Tribolium castaneum: one gene and its partner. The protein of the gene in region 1 interacts with the protein of each later gene in a pairwise test. Links are inferred from orthologs where the notes say so. Each region holds a gene or a part of one and is shown in the gene's direction. Other genes may lie near its edges.

Evidence for each region. The genes of interacting proteins can lie anywhere in the genome.
Region 2: the proteins of ribosomal protein S6 kinase delta-1 (region 1) and Prosalpha5 interact in a two-hybrid assay, tested with the Drosophila melanogaster proteins (2 studies listed by BioGRID). The link is inferred for Tribolium castaneum from reciprocal best matches to the Drosophila melanogaster genes CG7156 and Prosalpha5.

Annotation. Positions count from the first base shown.
Region 1 is NC_087396.1:22,238,617-22,250,293, reverse strand, and holds ribosomal protein S6 kinase delta-1, read left to right. Parts: upstream 1-4,287; coding exon 4,288-4,482; intron 4,483-4,530; coding exon 4,531-4,688; intron 4,689-5,184; coding exon 5,185-5,437; intron 5,438-5,489; coding exon 5,490-5,805; intron 5,806-5,849; coding exon 5,850-5,968; intron 5,969-6,193; coding exon 6,194-6,337; intron 6,338-6,382; coding exon 6,383-6,510; intron 6,511-6,563; coding exon 6,564-6,995; intron 6,996-7,135; coding exon 7,136-7,331; intron 7,332-7,379; coding exon 7,380-7,604; 3' UTR 7,605-7,694; downstream 7,695-11,677. Other genes in the region: transmembrane protein 245, read left to right, coding at 733-1,245, 1,292-1,520, 1,574-1,695, 1,800-2,513, 2,566-2,733, 2,969-3,155, 3,202-3,386, 3,437-3,840 and 1 more.
Region 2 is NC_087396.1:10,896,886-10,905,483, reverse strand, and holds Prosalpha5 (proteasome subunit alpha type-5), read left to right. Parts: upstream 1-2,738; 5' UTR 2,739-2,854; intron 2,855-2,913; exon of another isoform or gene 2,914-2,981; coding exon 2,982-3,253; intron 3,254-3,302; coding exon 3,303-3,508; intron 3,509-3,558; coding exon 3,559-3,809; 3' UTR 3,810-3,986; downstream 3,987-8,598. UniProt on the Drosophila melanogaster protein: The proteasome is a multicatalytic proteinase complex which is characterized by its ability to cleave peptides with Arg, Phe, Tyr, Leu, and Glu adjacent to the leaving group at neutral or slightly basic pH.

The DNA of each region.
Region 1 (11,677 bases):
ATCAATTTTAGTTCTATGACGCAAGATTATGCAACTAACAATACACTGCCCGTAATGGTGCACTTTAGGTGAAATAATCATTTGGTCAAACGCCGGTCACACAAGAACAAAAAACGAGTGAAGTAATCGGTAATTCATAATTCATATATTGTTTTTTACAATTTTGATTTTTTGCGGGACGTGAACTTGGCTGATTCGTAAGAAAGTAAGATTAAAAATTTGACAACTTGCGAAATAAACTAGGTACCGCGCAAGCTACCGAAATACTTAATAACAGAATATGCCATAAAATTCGACAAATACTAAAAGGTGGCCACAATTTATTTGTATTTGATAATATTAAACCAGTTACACCCAAAATACACTAATTAATTAAAAAACAGTCATCAAATTGATACTTTCGATCGTAAGAACGCTCGTCAAAAATCACGGTCTGTGCGTAATATCTAATAATGTCTGCGTGTGAAATTTTCAAATTTATTAATTTTTATGAATAACAAGATCTTATGAAACTATTTAGACAAGTGCTCTGGAAGCATTACATCGTCTTACACTAATTGTGGTTGACTTTCTTTAAAAATCGGGCATAGTTTGACCTGGTTTGCCACTGACAGTTGACAAATACAAACAGCGTGACCTTAGCCACTCACGTGTCCCTTCTGTCAGCGATGTCAACATTGCTCTAAAATTAAAAATGATTCGATAAATTTAATCAGTTGAATTAATATCGCGATGGACCACCGTTCGCCCTTGGAGAGCATCTTCGGCATAATCGGGGGGCTGCCGCAGGGGCATGACAAGCCCGTCAAGCATGCCCTTTACAACGCCGTGGCCCTTCTGCTGCTGTTCCTGTGTTGTGCGGCCAGTTGGGCCCTGTTCATGATCCTGGAGCCGTTCGTGAAGCCCCTGATCTGGGCCTTGCTGGTGGGGTCGGTGTTGCACCCCCTTAAGCGGTCGCTCAGGGACAAGTTCCAGGCCTGGTTCAAGAGTCTGGAGGTGTCTCACACCCCCATTGTGCTGGGGGTGATGCTCATCCCTATCAACATAGTCAACGATTTGTCGGATTTGATCGGTGACCAAATTTTGAAACGGATCAAGTTCATTATCGCTGTTTGTGTGGCGGTGCCTTTGGTGCTCCTGGTCTATAATTACACGCCAAAGTTGGTGGTTTGCATTTTTTATAAAGCTTACACTTATAGCTACTTCGTACTGGGTTTTTGTCTGGATAATGCCTCTCTACCTCTGGTGAGTGCCAATGCTTAAAACTTGTTGCTTAAACTAATATTCGTAGTTTGGCCTAATTTTAATCGCCTACATGTCTCTGACATTCCTGCTGTGGAAACCCGAAAATAATACGCGATTTCATTACGCATCAATTGGAATTTGGTTGTTGTTGTCTTGTTGTTTGGCTCATTTATTCGGGTCGTTCCAAATGGCTGCGTTTATTTTTTTACAAGTTGTGTTTTTCGGCGGATTTGTGAGCGAAGTCTACGACATTCATAACGAACTAAACGCTGAAGGTATTATTTTTAAAATTTTTATCAACATGTTATAAGTAATTGTACGTTCAAAGGCCACTCAATTACATTCTTTGAGTCGCTATCTCTTGCATTCCATGACAAGTCCTTAGATATTGACGAGGAACATAAAGAACCAGCGAACGAAGCGAGTGAACAAAAGTCGGAACCTCTAGAGGTATCTCATTATCTCACTGTTAAACTAATTTTTATCCTGTTGGCAAGTGCCAACTCAATTTTAAAGCCACGGACAGTCTGGCCAAATTTGAGAAATATTTTTAGGATCAGGATGCCAAGCCGAAGACTTCGGTCAAGTTCAACGATGGTGTGGGCGACGGCGCCCCCGTAAAATCCCCCCGAAGAGACCCCTACTCTCTCGATTTATTCGAGGAGAACAAATCGAATCTCCTCGAGCGAACTGACTCCGAGTTGAGCAATGCGAGTGTCCTAATAACCAATCAGGGGATTCACCTGATTTCAAAAACCCCGAAAAAAGAACTGAAACGTTCGTTGTCCCAACCCCAGTTCTCGCTGAAAAATCGCTCGAGTTTCACGAGTTTGAATCGGCGATTGAGTAGTGTGAAAAGTTCAACGCAAAGTCTGATAGATACCGAAAAGTACGAGAGTACTTTTTACCTGTATTCGGTACTTTGGGCTTGCATTGTGATGTTGTTTTGGAAAAATATCGTCTTGTTGCCGTTGCTACCGCTTCCGATTTTGTTGTACTGTCTCAAGCATGCCGGGAAATATTTCGGTGTGTGGAATTGGCTTTATGATAAGTTGAAAATTGCGATCTTGGCTGTTAGTAACTGGTGTTGTGAGAGACACGACGCCCTTGTTCCTGTGCCAATTAGGGGCCTCTATCGAGTGGTCCACAAAATAAATATTTTTCTCAAAACTAGTATTAGAGAGAGTATTGATACGGTGGCGAGTTGTGTCGTTATTTTTGGTCTTATTATTTTCGTGACTTGTGCGTCAGTTTTTATAGCAATTCAGGTAAAGGAAAAAACAAGTCGGAAGTGTGTTTTTTTAATTCAACACAATTTAGATCTATGCCGAGGCTATTATGATGGTTCAAATGACCGGAAATGTGATCAATCAGACTGTTGTTCACAACCCAGAGTTGAGACAGCTTTTGCCCCCCGCTTGGGACGACACTGTTGACTCCATTTTGGACAATGCGTACCAATACGGCCGAGAAGGAATCTCCAAAGCGGTAAGTCAAATAAAAAAAAACGCTGCGAATGCGATTTTTTTGGATTTATTTTAAGAAATTTCACGAAATAATTGCAATTCTGGCTTTTAAGCGCTGGTCATTTTCTTGCCAACGTAATGATTTTTTGCTCAGTTTAGTAAAATCCTCGATAATTGCGTTTTTTCGCGATTATTACGTTTAAAACTGATCGAAAATTGTCTCAAGAAGAGAGAAAACGGCTTTGAATTTTTCCCAGGTCAAAGGAATGATGACAGACGTGGACTCGGCAAAGTCGGAAAAACTGGAAAAGCAAGTGTTGGAATTATGGGATCGTGTCTATCAGTCCTGGATGTCCACAACCGACGCAAACGGCCCTAAAGTGACCGAAGACGCGGTCCGAGTGTCTTGGGAAAATTTCATCAGTGACATACAGAGATCACCAGGTAAAAAAATGTATGTAACTCGGGTAAAACCACAATTGTTTTGTAGAAATGTTCAACTTGAACGGAATCGTGGATTTTGCGAAACAAAACGTGGGGACACTTCTGTCCCTTCTGGAATCAGTCTGGTCCATAGTTAAGGGAAACATCGGGCTAGTGCTTGGCTCATTTAGCGCCTTTTTATCGGTGATTTTGGGCGGCGGCACCGCGGTGCTAAACTTCATCTTGAATGGGGTAAAACCCCGGAATTATCAAGCCTTGTCAATTAAATAAATCGCTTCCAGATTGTGTTCCTCACAACTTTGTTTTACCTCCTGAGTTCAAGTGGCGACCTTTACAAACCAGTCGAACTCATGACGAAGTTTTCGACCAGTGGGCGCCGCTTTGGCCACGCTTTGGAGGGGGCTATCAACGGGGTCTTTACCGCCTCGTTCAAAATGGCAGCGTTTTACGGCATGTGGACGTGGTTCATCCACAATTTATTCGGCGTGAAAATCGTCTATCTTCCGTCAGCTTTTGCGACAATTCTGGGGGCTGTCCCTTTTTTGGGGACCTACTGGGCGTGTTTTCCCGCCGTTTTGGACTTGTGGTTGGCCCAAGACCGCGGGATTGAGGCAATTGTGTTTGCCATTTTCCAGTTTTTGCCAACTTCGATCGTTGATACTACCATTTATAAGGAAATCAAAGGGTTTGTTATAGAATTTTTTTTCTGATGAAGAAAATAATTGTTTTTTAGGGGCGGTCACCCGTATTTGACCGGTTTGGCCATCGCTGGGGGGATTTTCTGTCTCGGGGTCGAGGGGGCTATCGTGGGGCCCCTTCTACTGTGCGGGCTGTACGTCGCGATTGACTTGTCTTCTAGTCTTTTTAAGGAGTCTCCCTCAGAGGAGCCGATCAATCTCAGGTTGCAGCTGCAAGACCGATAATTGTTCCAGAAGTTTATAATGCTTAATGTTATTGTGCACCGAGGGCTTTAAAACACGTTACCTAACCAAGATTTTTACAGATATTTATTGATGTTTAAGATTGTTAGATGTTTTTAAGAAATAAACGAAAATCAAAAGATTGACCTCTTTTTATTATCCCATTAATTATTATCACACAATTTGTTTACGAAAGATTGTTGACATGATAAATGTCAAAGCGACATAACCTGAAATCAGCTGTTCGCTGTCACTTTGACAGCCGCCTTATCGCTAGCAAAAAATGTGAAATTTTATCAAAAAGTCAAAAAATGGTGTCGAATGGTGACAACTGGGTCCGCATTTTTGATATCCCTGATATCAGCAAGCACCGGAAGGGCTTTACCATCTACAAAGTCATCTCAATGGTTGGTAACATTCCACAATTTTTAGTTATCAAATATTTGATTCTGCAGCTTTATCCCGAGTCTTGCCCCGACGCGATAACAAAAATTACCGTCTGGAAACGTTTCAATGACTTTAAGAAGCTCCACCGCGAAATCAAAGTCTTGCACAATAAATTGAACATCAAAGAGAAGTTCCCTAGTTTGCCCACCTCCACCTACTTCAAAAGGTAACAGTTTCCCCGGAATTACAAATACTTTCTCTTCAGCATCGTTATCAGTGCTAGAACACGTAATTGGTGACCTTGGAACGGTCTTTGTGTTGTCAAGTTGGTACACATTTGGGGAAAAAAGAAGACTTGATTGCCAACCCCTAAATTCAAAATTTTCTATCTGGCATTTTTTATCTTTCTTAAAGAAAGTTAATTATAATCAAATTTGAACTTACTGGATTATATAAGTTTTTGAGTCCACAGACAATTTTTTTTTATAGTTGCTAAGGAAAAAAATTTGTATTCATTTTAAGAGAGTTGGTTCGACACTTTAAATCACCTTGTGTAATTCACGAACTAATTATAATTTCAATTTAGTGTTTTTTTGATTATATTTTCTCAATTCTTCAATAAATAAAGGACATAAACGCAAAATAGAAATATATTATTAAAGACGTATTGCTTACTCGCCGCTACGCTGCTCGTGCCTTGTTTTTTAGGATAGTATTTTTAGGTTTAGTGACGAGACTGTGCAGGAGAGAAGACAGAGCATTTTGAATTTTTTGGAATACGTCGGTTATCACTCTCAGTTGTTCACTTCAAGCGAGTTTGTTAAGTTCTTTGAAACGAGTCACACGCCTGTTGACCAACTGAACGGTAATATTAATGCAATTAGAGCCGATTTAAACTTACCTGAGGACCCTGAATATTGCATAGCCAACTCTGATGATGATCGCACGATCAGCGATACTGATTCAGTAACAACAGTAAGTGATTTTTGTGGTAGAAAAAATATAAAATGTGTGTCGTGTGTTTCAGAATAGCGATTTTTTTGCCGATTCTGTGCCTCAAAAAACCCTCTCTAAATCCCGTTTAAGCCTCAGCCACTCGCACCAATCCAAAAATTCTGATAACATAAGTATATCCACGACCACTGACAGTATAACACTATTGGACGGTCAGATTTATCCAACGCCTCCCAATACTCCCAGTTGTGCCGAGAATTATGCACAATATATCATAGACGCTTCAATTCACGTAAATATTGCCACGGAATTAGAAAACGAAAAGAAATATGAGGACGCTTTCACGGCTTATAAAACCGCAATTGATATTTTGCTGAAATATGGGAAAGGTTAATAATTGACTATTTTTGCCTAAATAAATCATGGTTTTCAGACGATAAAAATTACGATAGGAGACAAATAGTGAGGTACAAAACTGATAAATATTTACTGAGGGCCGAAAAAATTTATAACATGCATTTGGCCCCCGAAGTGCAAAGTCTGAAGCGAATTGTAAGTTCAAAGCTTTTGATTCAGTCGCGAGAGGTCGCGTTGCGCGCGCATACTTGACATGAAGCAGCTTTGATTTTTTTATTATCATTTGGAAATCGCACGATTTGGTTCAGAAGTGGTCGTGAGAAGTAAAAGTTTGGTGTTTGATTCACTCGTGAGATGTCGCTGTGTGGGGATGCGCGCGCATCGTAAAAACGCGGCCGTTTTAAAAGTGAATATTTTTAGACCGAATCGGAGGAAAACGGCCAAAACGCCGATCAATACGTGCAACGACCCATATCCGACTTATACAAATATAAAGTGGTCCGTGTTATAGCCTCCGGAATGTTGGTTTTGCATTCCGAGCTCCAGCAACTCTTTTATATTAAAGTAAAAAAAATGAGTTTTTGTTCGAGTCTAGCGGCCGTTTTGCAGGTTATACACAAGACTATGAAATTTCTGAACGACAACTTGATTTTGCCCGAGAACGTGCCTTACATGGTTAAGTTGTGCAATTATTACAATTGCGAAAACGCCTTGTTTTTAGTGTTAGAGTACTGTAGGTAATTTTTGTTTTTTGTGTGTATTTTTGGCGGGTTTGAATGCGTTTTTCTAGCGGTAAAGCACTATGGGATTACGTGAAGTGCAGGTCTGAGGACCCTTCTGATATTTTTTACCCGAATGAGGCGCAAATCCTGCGCCAAGTGCACGATATGGATCTTTCCGATCCGGAATCGGAGCATAGTTACAGCGATTTAATCAACGATTACGCAAGCAACAAAGGCAAAAACTCGACAAAATGCGACGACGACGACGATGATTACGTGAAAGTCGATCCGGGCTTTAATAGAAACTTAATGGACGAACCTGTCCCGTCCAAACTCCCCGATTTATTAAGAAAATCATCACGGAAGTTCAGCGAAATGTCGAGCTTCGACGACTTGGATCTGGCACAAAGTCTCCTCATTCCACACGAGAACATCGTCAAGTGGGCGGCGCAACTCCTACTAGCGTTGGAGAAAGTGCACGCCTTGGGAGTTGTGTGCCAGTAAGTTAAAAATCGCCCAAAATGCACGGTGCGTTAATTAAACTTAGAGTTTTATCCACAAGTGTTACAAGAGGTCAATGAATTTTTTTAAATTTTTACTCCTAAGATATTAAAACATAGTAAAAATAAAACGCTTTCAGCGACTTGCAGTCTCGCAATTTGTTAATTGACGACGAGGGCGACCTGGTGCTCACCTACATGTGTAACGTGAACGACGTTTTTGCCCCAGAAAGTTTACAAAACGTAGCACCGGAAATTTTTTCTTTCGAACCGGTTACAACCGCCGCCGATTGGTGGTGTTATGGCGCTATTTTGTACGAACTTTTGGTCGGAATGGTATTAAATCGCTTTGATATGGACCATTTTGTAATTGGTTTCTTCCAGCCTTTGTCAGAAATTTATCCAGAAGGGTTAACGAGTCATACAGTTTTGAAAGTTCCCAAATATGTGTCACCAGAAGGGCGGTCTTTGTTGAGGCAACTTTTGACGTTTGAGCCGCAAAAACGGCTAGGTTTTGGGGCCAATGGTCCAGAAAATTTAAAATCGCATCCGTTTTTTCATTCAGTTGATTGGGAACAATTGCTTTCAAAGTACAATTTTAAAGTCTGATTTTGTTAAGTGTTCAGTATTTAGGTGCGTTGCTTATTACATTCCACGTGTTTTGTTGCTTTTGTACTAAATAAAGTTTTGTTATCTATATTTCGGTGTCTTATTGCCAATTCCTTTTTGCCACCATAATTTTTCCTTTAGCAAACTTTAAAAAATTATAAGGTAGGTAGAAAAGACAAAGAGCTTCAAAACATGAGGTAAGTACTATGTTATAAAAACAAAAGGTTGGTAAAAAGTTATATTCGAGTTGATTCCACAAATATTTTTTTACAATCCTTTTAATTAAAATTGATTACTTAATAATTTCGTTTATGCAAAAAAAAATCGTAAGAAAATGGAGATTGTACTCGTACGTTTTGGAAATAGATGCCTCATATTATACAGGAATATTCACATAAAACTCCGAGCTTGACTAAGTTAAAAGGCAACACGAAATTTCAGTAAATATTAATTATGACATAATAGGAATCCAGCTAGCTTTATAATATGTGTTTTGTGTTGCACTTTTGACTTGGTCAGGTCCGAAGTCATATGTGAATAACCCTGTATATAATAGAAATTAAGTGCCAAATCGAGAATAACGCGGAAAAATACTTTTGGAAAAAGTCCGTTTGGTTTAAATTAATATAAGTTGTTTTGCACTTGTTTTGTTGCATCTGTTGTAAGTAAAGTTTTTATTTAAATTTTGGTGTCGTTTAATGCCGTAAATTCCTCCCCGTCTGGCGCGTCGTGTGATATTTCGGTTTAGCAAGAATTTAGTTTCAAATGAGTTTGCAGTTGAATTAGAGAAAATAACCAAACTCCAATTTAAGTTATCTCTTTTGAAGTGTATTTTTTCGGTGTAAGAAAGTAAAATGGCGTTCTTTGTGGTTGTTAACAAGTTAAATTATGCCGGCAGTGAATTCAGTATCGTTAAGAAAGTTGAACAGGAGTCATTCGAAAGTAATTAGCGAAATATAATGAAGTGATGTATAATTACATGTCGTACCCTCCCTTTCTCTAATATACCGCAGGGACAGCTGCTGGTGAAGAGAACAAAATGGATGTGTTTCCTCAAGCAGCCCCAATTCGCGTCGTACGAATCAACGCTTCAGCCAAAACAGGAAAAACTCCTATTTGTAAAATGTAATTAGCCGAGAAATCAGCGAACAAAGAAATCCTGTTAACTTCCAAAGGAAAATTAATTACTTATAGCCGGGTTATGTACGGCGTCTTTGAGGAAAAAAATTAAGAGTCCCAAGAATAGATCCACCTATTCTCTCGGCTAAATCGATTGAAATTATTTTTCAAGCTTAATTATCCGCTTTCGCGCAATTAGGAGATTTAATTAAAGCCGACTCTATTTTTCCCTTTTTCTAAAGTTTAGGTCTAGCCGATCGGATAACGCCGACAGTCCTATCACAGAACCGGATAGCTGCAGCCCTCGGGCCGCTCTTTGTAAACCACTCGAAATCAGTTCCAGGGTTGTGATAAGACAGCTGGGGCAGAGGGCGTGTTCAACGGGGAACAAAAAAAAGGAGGGCGCAAAGGCCATTAACAAACAGTTAGCCAATCGGCAACCAAAGGAATTATAAATAAAACAAAAAATGGAAAAGTATCTCAAAAAAAAAACAAATGGTAACTAAAAAAATAAAGAAATTACGTTCGAGGATGTTTTTAAAATTTAAAATTTTTAAGTTAATTATCGAGAAAAAATATTTTTAATGTGTCGGGTGAAGCTGGGGACACACGTTAGTTTGGCGATTTTTGTGAGCCACCCGGCACATTTCTTTGTGCTGGCAGCCTTGTAATTTATGACATGTTATTTGGGAACTTTGTACGTTCATCATCCCGACTGATAAGTCCCGAAACTTTTCAGTTTATTCCCTTTCAATAAATTACTCTTCAGCAATCTATTGCCCGGGCAATATTTTCGTTTCCGGTTAGCCCCCTTGTCAGGTGAAGTATAACGTCGTGAAAATTTGACAGGAAAACTCATGTCCCAGCCGGGTAATCCCCCGGATCAAAGGCTCGCGATTGCCTTGCCAGTGTCACATGAATGCAATTTTAATATAATTGAATATCTACTTTACTCAATAGATATGCTCCGAGAAGATTACATTTATTCGCTCGAAGCGGATGAATATGATCTTCATTATTAAACAGGATGAAAATTTGAAAAAATATCGCATGTTTGTGAAACGTCTTCTTCGCTGGTCGAATGCCACTCAGACTTCACATACATATTAAGAAAACGCGGTATTTTTGCCGGCTTGTCTGACACTCGTGTTGGAACGCCAAGTGCAAAGAATCATTTTACGCCAAGTGAACTTGAGCCAATAAAGTTCGCCAAAAATAAAGGACGAGTAAAATATGGCGCACACTTGCGAGCACTTCAAATTTTTATTCACGCAAAGCAAAAACGCCCAACTCGGTAATGTCATTATTTCCAAAACTAAAAAAAAATTAAAAAATAATAATATCTGTTCAAAAATCAAAAACCGCATTTTTGGATTACTCGGGATATTTTACGGGAGTTTTTGTCAGCTTTTTCTATACTTACAAGCCGTTTTCGAATATTGTCGCCAATCGAACCTCTGGAACATTTTACATACAAATTACGAAAGTTATTTTTATTGTTTCCGAGTTTCTGGCTTTGAAATGGATCGCTAATCACGAGTGTATTTCCTGTTTGTTCGCCTTTACTTTTAATTTTTGCGTTTAAACCGGTCCAGGATTGCCATAAATTTTAAATGGTCCGTTCTATATATTTTCTATTTACTTTTGCAGCTCGCAGCAGCAATAAACGACGCAATTTCCTGCATTTGTGTATTTGCCTGTAATAAAAACACAAAAAGTGCGTTTCACTCTATCCCAGCTTTACTGTTTCTGTAATTAAATAAAAACCGACAGTTCATTATCAGTGAATATTTCGAGCAATTAAAATTTTAATAAAACGCTCGTATATGGATCTATCCCCACCTGCCATCGACTTAATTAAAAAAACTTGCGAATACATCAGAAAAAACAAACGCAATTTGCAATAAATTCCTCCTAAGCCATTATTGTGCTTCCGGCGTGAAAATCTCACTACACTGCTAAAACCAGGGCCGCCAGCCGGCGACAAGCCCTTGAAGGACCGACACAGGGCCTAATTGAGGGCTGGTAATAATTGTCTCGATTTTTGCTCGCTCCATTAGAGTCCATTAGTCGGCGATTGATTACCGAAAATTTTCAATGGGTGACAGGGCGTTTTCGCCAACAGCGTGCCTAATTTGCATCCCATTCGGGCGGGATTTGGCCCGTGATGAGGTTTATTTTTTACGGTTATGCTGGTTATGTTAATCCGCAAGGTGGAGATGCCGCGATAGGGCCCAGGAATTGCTCTTTAATTCCATTAAGGCAACTAATACTTAATCTGGCGGAACAAGCGACAGTTTGGCCATGCTCGAGTGTCCTAATTATATTTTTGCGCGTTAAATAATAAGTAATGTTTCCACAGATTCTGTAAGAAAAAACAAAAAATTAAAAGTCGTAGAGCAATGCGGTTTGTTCCGTTGAATTCAGCGTATTATACTAATTTTTCACGGGATTTAAAATTCTGATTTTTTTTGCTAAAATTTCTTGAGTAAAATACACTTACCTTCAAGAAAGTGAAAAAATAAAAATTTTTTAAAACTTTTTCTATTATAATTTTTTGGACTTATATATGCCTTAACAACCCCCTAGAGTTGTTAAATGTAGAAAAAAAATTTATTGCTTCGATTTTTAGAGTTTTGATTTTTGCAATTTTTGTCGCAGTTTTGGTCGATTCCGGGTACCCGGCACATTTGTCGAGCAATAGCTCCGGAACTATTAGAGATAACCCCATGAAGTGTATTATCGTTGGAAAACTCTTTAAATAATCTATTTTTTTCAAAAAAGATTATTGTTCTCCGACTAATAGTTTTCGAGCAAATTGCAGATAAAAGCAAATATTTGTAGAATTTTAAAAAATTCATAACTAAAAAACTATTGGGAATTTGGTAATTTTCTCGATGCCAATCGATTCCCCGGATCATTTTGCATAGGTTAGGATCAAAACAGTTCCACTT
Region 2 (8,598 bases), about 11 Mb from region 1:
AATGTGCATACCGCAGGTGGTTAAGATTGCATCAATTAAAGTGAGTAATAAAACAATAAGCGTGAGAACAAGTGTGCACAATTCACAACTAAAGTGAAGAAACATTAAAAATGATGTACTCATTTTATTTTCTATTTGATAAACATGATTTAAATATTTGTTAAACTAAGAATAGCATTCCCCTGCAAGGAGGATGTTTTGTACTAAGGTAAGCAATAGATTACTAATTGTTACTGAGAATAAGAGCGACCAACCTATCTCTTGACCGCACCAGAAATTCCGCTTAAGACATGCTTATGTAAATTATAATTGCTGATCTAAATTATTTTACAAAAATTTTCAATTTACCTCACTTTATATAATAATATCAAATAAGAACATACGGGATTCTAAAGTTCATGCTAAAAATAAGTGCCAAGAGTTATTAAAAAAACTGTAACCTTTGATATTGTTACTAATATAATTAGTAAATTAATCTAATAGTTTATATTTAAAGTTGTTGCTACCTGAATAATAACAGGTTTATACAATATTTGTTGCTTCAGGTTTTTTGGTTACATGTATTATTAATCTGAAATGAAACGGTTCAAAAAACAATAATTTTATTAAGAAGATACGTATCATCTGAACGCTGTTCCTCCTTGACGTTTAATCACTATTAAGTACTACGTTATTTTATTTTTCTTATAGCTATTATAGCTACATATCAATTCAGCATATTATAATCTTTGGGTAAAAAATAAAAGGCTTTACCACAAAATTAAAAACTTTATTTCTAATATATACAACCAATAATACACACATCCTGTACAAGCAGTTTTCTAAACTTTATTAACTAAGCATAATTTATAAATTACATTTTATTTCTGTTTTCGCAATGAATCTAATGATACAATTTTTATAGCTCTGTCGCCATCACTCTCTAACGTTACTCCTAATTCTTGCAGCACTGAAGAAGAAACAGTTCCTTGTTGATGCAACTCAGCAATAATTTTCTGATTTTCCATGTTGTTTTCGCACAAATTACGCACGGCCAATATAACCCATTGCATTATGACTGCATAAATTAAGGCATTATCTCTTATTTAAATTCTGTATTGTCTTTTCAATAAAAAAGGATACAAGGATTTCTTGCGTCCATGTTACAACAGTCCAAAATAACTGGAATGAGCTCGGCTTCTCTTGTCTGACAATTAAAAACAAAGAATAAATAGGGGCATAACATTAACCAAAAAGTTTCAAAAGAAAAAAAAACGTTTGTATCATAGAGAAAAAGTTTGAGTAAGGAATTATTTAAAAAAAAGTATATGTGTAACAGCCTTACTCAACTTACCAAGTCCTGCATAATTTTGTTTTTCCAGCACAAATTACCAATTATCCTTATCAAGTCCGCCTTAAATCCGAAAGCTGGATGTTCTTGGATGTTTTTATTAGGTTCTCTAATTTCAGACAAATTCAGTATTGAAGTAAAACAATTTTCACTTTCTTTTCCTAGTCTGTGGATATTGATTAATAAAACACCAGAGTTGATTAATAGATCTTTATCGCTTTGTAGCACTTTTAAATAATCTTCATTACTACAGAAAGACGATATGACTTGCACAAGCTGCGATATCTCATAAGCTTCCAAACTTGAATCTTTATTTTGAACTGTTTGAAAAATAATATTACCAGACGCTACAAATTGGTTAGTTAACACTTTTAAACCCGTTACTGGTATATTTAATGCCTCTCCTTTAATCTGTTTATCTCTGATTACGCCCAACACTGCTGCCCTCTTATTAATCTCAAATTTTAAGTAATAATTCCAAAAATTACAATCACTTATTAGTTTTTCTAACATGAAGTACAAATATTCTACACTATTGTGAGAGTCGTAAAGTTCAAGGAGAAAAGAATACGTGTCAAAATCCATGTTCAATTCCTTGTATAAAGACATGTTATATAAAAGGGCAGACGTTTCGTAAATGTTTTTCTTGTCTTTCAAGAGTGAAAGTATTGTAGGATAAAACACATCATATACTCTATCCACAGCACTTTTATTTGATATTATTAAATTAAACAAAAATTGTAAAATAATTTGGAATGCATTTTGTATCACTTCAGACTGTAAGTTCATAAAATTGGACACATTCGGTAGAAAATTTTCGTCATTAACTAAATAATTTTGAACGTCTGAATTTATAACATAATTCCTTAGACTCCTAAACAATTCTTTTATGATTCCTTCATGATTTTTGCTTAGGCTTTGCTCAGAAAGTGTCTTTAAAATTTTATGTAGCAAATCCACAGCTTGAGTTGAAAATTCAATCCTGAAAAACTAAATCTTCCAAATTTTTCTTAATAAGGACAAAACTTACTTTAGGGGGACACCTGTCTCGTCCTTTTCCAGCCTAAATTCTTTCTTTAAGTAAAGTTCAAGAGCGGAATAATCATTCTGCTGCAGGTATTCATCGACAGTTTCCAGTTTTACGGATATTGGTCTAAACATAATTTATTTTCACGTCGAAAAAGCTCACAATTTTTATACTATTTTGGCTAATTTTTAAAGGTTAGGTGTCAAATTTGAAAATCAAGCACCAACCCTACGTTAAAAAAGGTTCTAAAGAGCCAGATAATATGTAAAAGGACCTTTGTTTTTTGCTCTTGTGCAATCCCAAACACGTTTTTACAATACAGTGTTTGAATTGAAGGATAACTTAGATTTTAAAATAATAAGAATTAATTTCTCATAATTTAAAATATCATTATTGTAGCATTGGCGACACTGACTTGGTGAGAAAATCGTGTTTTGGTTTGTCATCGTCGGCTTTTTCCTGAATTTAGAAAAATTTGAATTAATCCAATTATAAAGGTAATTTTTACTTATAACTTATGTTTTTTATTAATGTTCTTACATAACTAATGGTTTAGTCCGATTTTGACTGCATTTATTGCATGCAGAGTCATTTTTTGTGACATAACCTCACAAAAACTTTTAGATGTTCCTCACAAGAAGTGAATATGACCGAGGTGTGAACACTTTTTCACCTGAAGGTCGCCTTTTCCAAGTGGAATATGCTATCGAAGCTATCAAATTGGGTTCCACCGCTATTGGAATATGCACTAGTGAGGGGGTTGTGTTGGCGGTAGAGAAGCGCATAACTTCCCCATTAATGGAGCCCACAACAATAGAAAAAATTGTAGAAGTTGATAAACATATTGGTTGTGCCGTGTCTGGCCTTATGGCAGACTCTAGAACAATGATTGATAGGTAAATAATAAAAAAAATAAAAAAATGTAGTTGATCAAAATTATGCCAGGGCACGTGTGGAATGCCAAAACCATTGGTTTGTCTACAACGAAAACATGAGTGTGGAATCTTGTGCCCAAGCTGTGTCGAATCTAGCGATTCAATTTGGCGATTCTGACGATGATGGTGCAGCAATGTCAAGGCCATTTGGTGTTGCCATTTTGTTTGCTGGGATTGACGAAAAGGGGCCCCAGTTGTACCATATGGATCCCTCTGGTTGGTTTTAATAATTATGTTAATCTAAGTTTTTTATTTTTTCACTATAGGTACATTCGTTCAGTTTGATGCCAAGGCGATTGGATCTGGTTCAGAAGGGGCTCAGCAAAGCTTGCAGGAGGTCTACCACCGCAGTATGACACTAAGTGAAGCAACAACAGCGGCACTAACAATTCTTAAGCAAGTGATGGAAGAGAAATTGAATTCTTCAAATGTTGAAGTCATGACAATGACTCCTGGTGCACTGTTTCATATGTTTAGTAAGGAACAGGTGGAGGAGGTAATTTCTAAAATATCATAATTTATATCAAAGGCAGGAGGTTGCTCGTTTTTATTTTACAAGCTGTTTTATTTTTCTATACCAGTATAACTACATTTTTACTGTTTTTCCATCAAAACGATGTTCTCTGCTAACAACATATTTAAATATCGTTATTATTCACTCTACTGGAACAATAAATAATTAAGAAGAAAATCATTACGTTTATGCTTACCACACCTGCTTCCTGGACCTTTTTTCCTAACCCTCATAACTATCGCTAATTACTCTAATTAGTGATGCATAGCGAAATTACCGTAACTAGACACATTTTCATTTTATCCAAGGAGATTCAGATAGTGGATAAAAGGTGGAACCCACATCTTTTTTCAGGTTTTGCTTCTGTCCGTCATACCCAATAATTATTTTTACAGTTGAGCGGCCTTACAGCATAATTAATTAATCAAGCTAATCAAAAAGTTTGCTAATAATTTGATCTTGCCTTTATTCACTTATTTAAAACAACCATAATAATTTAAATAAGAATCCAGACCAAATCTTCATTGTGAGTAAATTTAGAAGAAGAGTTTTTTAAACTTTATTAAAATAGATTTGCATACTATTACAGTTAACGACCAAATGTTATTTAAAGAAACTGTAAGAATGTTATGTCGACAATAATTTCTTAAGTATGTCATAATAAAGTGACAAAAAAGTCGATTTATAAGTAAGTTTGAGTAAAAATTTAAATGGCATTTATCCGGTGAAATGACTTTCAAAAAAATTATTCACATACATAATAGTTTTTAATTTGTGTTATTAAAAGTTGCAACTATTAATTTATTTTTATTGCTGATTAGGTTTACGTAGTTATTCTTTTTACGATATCTAAAATATAATTATTGCTTTGTTCGTTTCTCTTTCTATAACATTGTGCATGTTTTTTCTTTATTAATACAAAATCATTGACAAAAAGTTCTTACAGTCGTAAGTAATTTGAAAAGTAAGATTTTTAATGTTGAAAAAGATGTTCCTTTTTCTATTCAGCAATGTATTTAAGAACTTACAAACAAATAACAATGACGGCTTTTACAAAGAAATCACAAATAAAACCAACGCCGCGAAAGTTGTTTATTAGTTTAAGCCAGAACTGTCCGACTTTTCTTAGACTGTCTCTTATTTTATTTTATAAAGATTTCAGAGGACAAATACTTAATAAATTATTTCATGCACAAATCAGGGTGTGTAAGAGCTAAATGTGCTGAAACATCATACTATACATCTTTAAACGAAGTTTTGTAAAATAATGAGACTCTGTCTTAAGAATTACTCAGAAAAGGCTGAAATCACGTAAGAAAATAACAGCGGTAAACAAGTAAATAAAAAAAATTATATTTATGGGTACAATTAGGTACATCCTAGGTATTTATAATTGTTATAATTGTTTCTGAAAAATAAATCATGACTATAATGAAACAATGGTTTTTGTGGGTAGGTATACATTAGACGGAGGTCTCGTAAGTTGTGTGAAACACACTGCATCTACTATATTTCAGGTGTTGCTGAATGAGAAGCTTATCGATCAGCTGCAAGAAGCTCAAAAAATTGCTGTCTGTTAGTTTTCAATGCCATTGTTTTAATTTTTTTCTGTTTTAATATCTTCTTAAATGTAATTCGATGATTTGTACGTTGTTAATAAACACTTAATTATTGAGGCCCAAATGGCGTGTCTTTAAATTCCGATGACATTTCGTGTTTATTTCTTGTAGTAAATTCAGCGAACGTGTCGTCCCGCAGGCAAGCAAGATTGCTCACATCTGCTTGCCTTTCGTAGACAAAAAAGGACATAATTAAATCAAAAAACATTTTCAAATTCTCGACCTAAAAGCGAGAGTATTTTCATTTCCATCGAGAGCACTTTCACTGATATGAATTCCCCGATATGTGGGAGATATTTATGATGAGAGTTGTGCAACACTAATCATTTCCGGTAGCAGTAATAATCCGGAATCCGGGCGTAGATGCTCTAATGATAGTTGGATGATTAAAGTAGTACGGATTAGCGACGAGCGGAACTTGTGAGGTGGAACAGCCTTCTCGCACACTTGTACATCTCCGGGCGCTTCGCTTTAGCACAGCGGCGCCTGGTCTCGCCTGATAGAGGCCTCCAGGGACTCGCTTTGTGCCGCTAAATCACTCATTAAAGCGCCCACCCCTCCTGTGTCCTCAATCTCGCCGACCACGATCCGCTACCGTCAGCCTGTCATAACTTTGCCATCCAATTCCTGAGACGCTTCCCGATTTCGCCCCGGAAAACGCCACCAGCCCCCAACAAAATCGATCCTATTTTAATTTTAGCTCAACACCAAGTTAAAGCTCCCCAAACTCTAAAGGATGACTCTGGCCTTTTGCTTTATTAGCAAAAACTTTTTTAATTTTCAAAGGAAATGTGTTGTTTTTCCAAAAAGCGCTTTTAATTTTCTTATTCAGTTAATCGGAAATATTTGCATTTGCATTTTTTACGTTGAGAATCAACAGGTCTTTATCGTTAGGAACGTTCTTACAAAAATACTATAAGTTTATATGAAGTCCGCTTTAGCATCCTTAAAAATTGTGACAACGCGTAATGGAGTTTTTTGCGGCAAGGCAACAGAGGGGCTCAATAAAAAATTAAATTTCGTCGTTATTCAGACGTGAAATAAACGACCCCGCGAAACAAAAACGTAGCGGTATGAAACTGGAGTTGATAACGGCGTGGGCGCTTAGCGGGGTTAAAAATAAACGGCGGCCGCTTTTCAATTAATGCTCAAAAATGGAAAATCCTCCTAAACCATGCACCATTTCACTGAAACCAGAATCAAACTGTCACATGTACAATCGCTCAAACATTTTGTCGGGTCGCCGTTTTGGAAGCTCAGCCAAGACTAGACTGATCATTTAGCTTGAATGAATTTCAATTTACGCGATGTTGTGATAAGAACTGGCGAGAAGTGCCTCTGTGGGGAAGCTCTATGGCGAAAGCTTGACGTCAAACCGGCAATTACCAGAAATCCCGATACCAATCGGAAGCTCGAAATGGACGCTGTGCTCAAATTAAATAAATTTTGCGTAATTTTGCCGGACAAGAGATAACATTGCTAATCTATCAGGGCGTTGTAGTTTGACAAGGATTCGTTTAGGGCACGTGCCAGGGATTGACTCTACTCATGCAGTGACAAGAGACGGTTGACTTGGCTTGGTGGCCGCTATCTTCGGTGGACAGAGCACCATGGGACGACTCCTTTATACCCACAATTCCCAACTTAATTCGCTCAAATGAACACCGGCAATGCGAACAATCACAAATTCGATGCTGATCTGATAAAGCAAACATTTATTTATCAGTAATTCAGCGAATTATCCCATTGTTTTCTTCCCCGTATTGATTCTTATTATAAATGTACACCTTGTATTATTTTCACAAGACGAGTTTTTAGAGTACCCAACATAATTGGGACAAGCTGGACGAAAAACTAGTATTGCCTTGCGAAACTTAATCTCTATGATTTTATTTTACATAATCAGATTGTCCCAATTTTCAACAAATAACAACAAAATTTGAGGTGGTTGGTTAATCAGTAGCAAAACACATTTATCAAACTTGGCTATAATTATGTGCGTTTAGCTAAACCACCAATACCTAAACACGTAACATCAAACCACCAATTGCTTGCTTCGTTTGATACTAAAAAATGTTCGGAGCACCTGGCAAAGTGTGAGAAAATTAGCCACTTACTTAAATAATCACCGGTTTGATTAAATATGTTGATAAAAATTTAGGAAGAAATTTGTGGCTGTTGTAATTGTTAATTTATTAAATAGTCACTCGTCAATTAATCTTTAAATCCTGAATGCTGGTAAACAAACTTCATGGTGTCAGTTGGTGCTGAAACAAGAATTTTACAAACTCATCAATTGTTGTAACTGGTCGCAACGACTTTCTTCCGAATGTGATGCAATGCGTTATGTGTTTAATTAAATCCAATTACGATTAGAAAGAGCAGCAGATGTGCTACAGGCTTAATAAGTTTACCAATCGGACATTATTCAATGCGGTGAAATTTTTTCAGTTTTATGGAAACAAACGACCGCTTCTGGTACTAAACGACTAAAACAAAGTTTCTAATAATTGGAAATGATTTATTGCATTTTGTCAAATGGCATTCTTATTAGACTTTATAATATTTTATTACGCAAATAGCAGGGACTATCATGTGGCAATAACAAATGCTGCACCGCGTTTCACTTCTTATTGCTGCAGTAATATAGAAATCGTCTTTGTTTCAGATGACACCATTACTTCAATATTTTCATAATTTGGAGTTGCACAAGCTGCGCTTTTAAGTTCGAGCGAGTAACACAATACTCATTTTATTATTTTTTATCTAATTTAATTTAACACTAAAAGCGAAAGCAACTCCGTATCATAAAATCTCGAGTGTATGCCCACTCTCATTGAAGAGTGACAGTTATGCCTCCGGTCATTGCTTTGAATTTTATGCCTTTTTCAAGCAGCAACCCACATTATCTTCACGTGCAATAAAATAATTACTGGCGACAAGAAGTGTTTTTACCGGAAAATCATGTTACAAAGTATTGCCTGTTAGCGCAGCACGTGATTAATAACAATCTTTCACCTTTCAGCGGATTGACACACGACAAAGTAAGATCCTATTTGAAAGTTTAGCAGATATAATGAAATTATTGTGTAACGTACGATTCGTATAAGATGTTAGTTTCCAGTGAATAGAAAAGTATGCGGGAAATTTAGATTATGCGGATGTAATAATTA